Saccharomyces cerevisiae S288C: one gene and its partner. The main gene of each other region encodes a partner of the protein of the gene in region 2 in a complex. Each region holds a gene or a part of one and is shown on either strand. Other genes may lie near its edges.

The links. Proteins that work in one complex are often made in the same cells at the same time.
Region 1: PTI1 (region 2) and SSU72 share a complex: the UniProt entries of both Saccharomyces cerevisiae proteins name them as parts of the APT complex.

Annotation. Positions count from the first base shown.
Region 1 is NC_001146.8:227,482-230,214, reverse strand, and holds SSU72 (RNA polymerase II subunit A C-terminal domain phosphatase), read right to left. Parts: upstream 1,122-2,733; coding exon 501-1,121; downstream 1-500. Other genes in the region: cysteine protease ATG4, read right to left, coding at 1,361-2,733. UniProt on the Saccharomyces cerevisiae protein: Component of the cleavage and polyadenylation factor (CPF) complex, which plays a key role in polyadenylation-dependent pre-mRNA 3'-end formation and cooperates with cleavage factors including the CFIA complex and NAB4/CFIB.
Region 2 is NC_001139.9:798,944-802,323, forward strand, and holds PTI1 (cleavage polyadenylation factor subunit PTI1), read left to right. Parts: upstream 1-1,602; coding exon 1,603-2,880; downstream 2,881-3,380. Other genes in the region: cystathionine beta-synthase CYS4, read left to right, coding at 1-1,123. UniProt on the Saccharomyces cerevisiae protein: Component of the cleavage and polyadenylation factor (CPF) complex, which plays a key role in polyadenylation-dependent pre-mRNA 3'-end formation and cooperates with cleavage factors including the CFIA complex and NAB4/CFIB.

The DNA of each region.
Region 1 (2,733 bases), on a different chromosome or scaffold from region 2:
TTGAAGATGTGCTCTTTTGAGCAGTCTCAACTTTGCTCGTTCCCGTTATGGGAAAAATTTTGGAAGGTCTTGGTAGGAACGGGTGGATCTTATAATTTTTGATTTATTTTCAGAAATAAATGGAACATTTTTCTATTTATTTCTTTCTTAAAGTACTGAAACTTTTAAAGTTTCATGCTTCTATTTTCTTCATTTCAGTCCTATATCTGGTGATGTGTTTTGGAATGAAACCTGTTATACGCTACATTGAGACAAGACATTGTCCAGCTTACTAAAAATACAGTGTGTTGTATATCAAGCTTCTTGATAAAAAAATAGCTATGTGGACAACAAGCAAATAATGTGCTTAAGAGAGCCGCAACAAGAAACGTAATATTATATAATGAATATAACTAGGAAGCTATCGAAGACTTGTGAAAGTATTGAAATTTCACGGATAATGTAGGATTCATGAGGGCCGCTTAATGCTTATGCTTTTCTACAGTAATTGACCGTTTTGTTTAGTAATATGAAGGAGCGTATAATGACGGTAGTTGAGAATGTGAGCTTTGCCACTCAGTTAAAATGTCCATTATACAATCTTCAAAGGGAATGTCATCTTTTTCACATTGTTCTATTTTATCATTGAGCATATCAGCTAATTCCAATATAGCTTTGCTACCAATTTTAGCATTTTCATCATCATCTTTAATGTCAACATTAATTACATGCACTATTTTGTTTAATTTCCCACCTCTATTCATCAAATCTTCACAAACGGCATCAAAACATCTCTCTTCACAAGTGAAAACGAAGTCGAAGACTTTTGTACTTTCTTGCCATTTTTCAGGTGCTTTTTTGAGTCTTCTATTACGATCCAGCATTTGCAATAAACCGTTCGACTTGTAACGGTCTGCTGATTGTGATAAAAGATCATTATATATATCATTATAGGGTGTACCAAATGAGTACACATTAGGCTTATCTATCGATAGACCAGGCAGTCTCACAGCTGAACCTGTTCCGTAAGAGCTAACATTATAGCCTGCTTCTTGCAGGACTTTATGCGATTCCATTGAACGATTGTTGTTTGATGCACAAACTGTGCAAAACTTCAAGTTTGAATTGCGATGACTAGGCATTTTGGACTTCGACACTAGTTTATACCACCGTTGTCTTAATCTTCTTACAGGTGGTCTTTAATTCGTGCCGACTGGCCTTTTTCTTTATTATCTTTCGTTTTTTAAGTTCTTTCCACTGCCGCAGACGAAAAATACGTAAAGGATGATCAAACGAATAAGAACAAAAGAACTGGATACCTCAGTTTTAGGGAATATATTAAAACAAGTATATATGCTTATGAACTAGTGAATTCCTTACACTAGCATTTTTCATCAATAGGACTGTGAATACCTACCGTTTCCTTCTCTACAAGGACGCCTTCTACTTCATAATCTGTTAAATTCGCATTAACAGTGTGTGTGTTTCCCATAACAACAATCTTCTGTTTCTTGCAATGAATATCTTGAAAACAATCATATTCGTCTACATCTTCTGTATTTGTTGTGTGTGGGAATATTGCACCAATATCTACGTAGTCTCCCTCTAGTACTCCGAGATTTTCATTATTGCTTGCATCTTTCTTCATTGAGTTAGAACTTACACTTTCCACGTCATCCATACTACAACTCACATCAAAGTCATCCATTCTCTTAGCAAGAACATTGATAATAGCAGATTCTGCAACTTCTAGCTTCCATTGTTGCCAGTCTTTTTCGCCCTTAATCAAAATACCAATGAGCATCGAGGGATCCATTTCCGATAGTTGCAATTTACCAAATTTACTGGTATGGCACGACTCTACAAATGAATCTTCTACTGCCGGTTGAGGAATATGAGGATCGAAATGTAAAAATTCATTTCCTTGATAACCAAAAAAATACAACGATGAAGACGGCCTACCGCCGGCAATGCCTACTGACTGTGTTGAACTTAAGATACCACATATACTTTCTCTATAGCTCTCATTTACCGCATTAATCCCGAGCTTCACGCCCAACAAGAACAATATTCTACTATTTGGATTCTCAGCAAATACTTTTTCAACTTCATTTTCATAGATATCGCCGGATGAAACAGATACTATACAATCATCGATGCCACATTCGGGGAAGCCATATATTAAAGATTGTATACTCCTTGCCGTAGCTGCGGGACCAAACCATTCACCTGGTCTTTTATCAGAGAGTTCTGTACCTGCAGAAACAAAGTTATGTAACGAAAATGGAGCCTCAGGCGTGTCATTAAACCAATTTACAAATTTTGATTCTCTTTCCAGACTTTCGTTACCATTTACCCTGAAATCTCTGCCCAAATGAAGGATTTGTAAGGCATTCCCCAACAAACTTTGTCCTGTCCTTATCATACACCCCCACCCAATATCAGTGTTAAAGCAATCAGGATTTGCTATATAGTCCTCTATTGTACTGATCGGATTTGTACGTACTAATAAATTTAGACTTAAAGGTGAAGGCCCATCTGGCGCCCTTGCTATAGGAACAAATCTTGTCCGATATGTAAAGTTGACCCTTGATTGTACATCCAAAAGAAATTCCTTTGTGTAAGAAGAAATTTCCCTACCAAAAAGAGAGCTTAAAAACCCGTCACTAACCGCTTCACCGCGATATCGACAGTCTTGTTCACATTGTTCAGCGCCAGATTCTTCGTCTCGCTCAGGATATACTTCCCCTAATA
Region 2 (3,380 bases):
TCCAGAATCACATATTGGTGTTGCTAAGAAGTTGGAAAAAGAGATTCCTGGTGCTGTTATACTTGACCAATATAACAATATGATGAACCCAGAAGCTCATTACTTTGGTACTGGTCGCGAAATCCAAAGACAGCTAGAAGACTTGAATTTATTTGATAATCTACGCGCTGTTGTTGCTGGTGCTGGTACTGGTGGGACTATTAGCGGTATTTCCAAGTACTTGAAAGAACAGAATGATAAGATCCAAATCGTTGGTGCTGACCCATTCGGTTCAATTTTAGCCCAACCTGAAAACTTGAATAAGACTGATATCACTGACTACAAAGTTGAGGGTATTGGTTATGATTTTGTTCCTCAGGTTTTGGACAGAAAATTAATTGATGTTTGGTATAAGACAGACGACAAGCCTTCTTTCAAATACGCCAGACAATTGATTTCTAACGAAGGTGTCTTGGTGGGTGGTTCTTCCGGTTCTGCCTTCACTGCGGTTGTGAAATACTGTGAAGACCACCCTGAACTGACTGAAGATGATGTCATTGTTGCCATATTCCCAGATTCCATCAGGTCGTACCTAACCAAATTCGTCGATGACGAATGGTTGAAAAAGAACAATTTGTGGGATGATGACGTGTTGGCCCGTTTTGACTCTTCAAAGCTGGAGGCTTCGACGACAAAATACGCTGATGTGTTTGGTAACGCTACTGTAAAGGATCTTCACTTGAAACCGGTTGTTTCCGTTAAGGAAACCGCTAAGGTCACTGATGTTATCAAGATATTAAAAGACAATGGCTTTGACCAATTGCCTGTGTTGACTGAAGACGGCAAGTTGTCTGGTTTAGTTACTCTCTCTGAGCTTCTAAGAAAACTATCAATCAATAATTCAAACAACGACAACACTATAAAGGGTAAATACTTGGACTTCAAGAAATTAAACAATTTCAATGATGTTTCCTCTTACAACGAAAATAAATCCGGTAAGAAGAAGTTTATTAAATTCGATGAAAACTCAAAGCTATCTGACTTGAATCGTTTCTTTGAAAAAAACTCATCTGCCGTTATCACTGATGGCTTGAAACCAATCCATATCGTTACTAAGATGGATTTACTGAGCTACTTAGCATAAATAAGAACCCACGCTTCAAATAAAAGCAAACATAGAAGCAAAATCCGTCATTCCTTTCCTATTCAATTGCACCGTTCTCTTTATATAACTACTTAATTAAATAGCGCCTATACGAAGCAGCATTGTTCTATTATTTTTACAAATTCCTTATCATGCATGCATCACATCAGTGTTTGAATCTGTTAACTTTTCACTTTATTGCTCTTACCCGACTCTGAAGAAAAACAAAAAAACAGCGACATGTTGGAAAGGTCGGGCAGTAAAGCAGAATTTCAGAAATACTAGTACGATTGTTTGAGGTCTTGCGAAACCGTGCATTCATAATAGCACCTTTTTCAGTCGCTCATCCGGTCGTCCTATCTGTAAACGTCACTGTCAAACACGTTGCATTGATTAGATTTTATTATTTTATATATAGGTATATTTAGAAAACTCACAACTGGAGAAGACGAAGAACGAAGAACGAAGGAAAAAAATTGATGACAGATCCCAGAAGAAGAACAGGCCGTCATTTCTTGACACCGGAGAATTTATCCTCTACATTACAAATCACAAACTTACCTCCAGAATGGAACCAAGATATAATTACTTCGGTCGTGGCCGGTTCTGGTCCAGTTATAGATATAAAAGCTAAGAATGACCCGAGAACTGGTAAACTAACCGGTGTACTGTTCGATTATTTGACTAGTAAAGATTGTAAACGCGCTTGGGAAATTTTAAATAGAATTGAAAACTTTCCCGTAAAGATAGAGCAAATAATCCCACCAAATTATAAGGACCATCTTAGAGAAACAGCAAATAAAAATTCTCAAAAGCAGGTATTACAACTTAATAGAGATTCGTACCCCTTCGAGGCGGGTTTGGAGCTACCTTTCGAAATGGTGACAGAAGTCCCCATTCCTAGGCGACCACCGCCACCACAGGCTGCAAATAACACAAACTCTGTATCAAATAACACAAACATTCAATTCCCCGACATACTAAGTAAAGCATCTAAACACTTGCCAAGTTTCCAAGATGGCTCGATTATTGCACCAGACAAAATTTCACAAAATTTAAGTAAAATTCCGCCGTTGCAACTTATTGAAATTATATCAAATTTGAAAATATTATCAAACCAAGAAAACATCCAAAAATCGCAATTAGAATCTTTCTTAGATACTAACAGTGATATCACAATATCAGTGACCCAAGCCCTACTAGAAATGGGATTTATAGACTACAGCGTGGTGACTAAAGTGTTGAAATCCCAAGTTGGCGAGGCCCCATCTTTGCTTTCGAGTAATAACACAAGTAATTCGAACACCCCCGTAAGCGTAATTAGAAATAACACTCCGTTGCATGTACCTTCTAATGAAGTCAGCAACAATCCTAACAATATGCCACTGAACGTAGCTATGCCAATGCCTATGTCGACACCACCATTTATCCCTTTACCTCTGCAACAACAACCGTTCGGTTTTGCGCCACCGGGCCCTTTCATGCCTCCAGCTCAAGGCCCCTCCATGGGACAGCCTGTGTTGGCAAATCAACTCGGCCAGGTCCAGCAACAAAATATAAGTTCTACAGAAGGACCCTCTAACGCGAATAAAGCGAATGACAGCGGCACCATTAATATGGCGAAACTGCAATTACTACCTGAAAACCAACAAGATATGATCAAACAAGTTCTTACTTTGACACCTGCCCAGATCCAAAGTTTACCAAGTGACCAGCAACTTATGGTGGAAAACTTTAGAAAAGAATATATAATCTAAGTAATCAGAGCCATAGCGTATCAGAAAACCACACCTAATTAGATGGTTCTTGCATCTGTACCTCTTATCACTAAAAGCGGCACTAAACTTCCAACATTAAATGTTTGCCTTGTTAAATATATATTTTTGCCTTGGTTTAAATTGGTCAAGACAGTCAATTGCCACACTTTTCTCATGCCGCATTCATTATTCGCGAAGTTTTCCACACAAAACTGTGAAAATGAACGGCGATGCCAGAAACGGCAAAACCTCAAATGTTAGATAACGTGGATCTCCGACACATGTGAATTTATAAGTAGGCATATGAAAATACAGATTCTTTCCACTGTGTTCCCTTTTATTCCCTTCTCATGTGAAGAGTTCACACCAAATCTTCAAAATATAACTAATATAGTAGAGTTTGATTCAAAGGACCTTTTTTTTTGCCTCTTTGATTAGTTTATCTTCTTTTCTTCATTTTATCCCCTAATTTTATACGTTAGTTCAACCTAACAATCCAG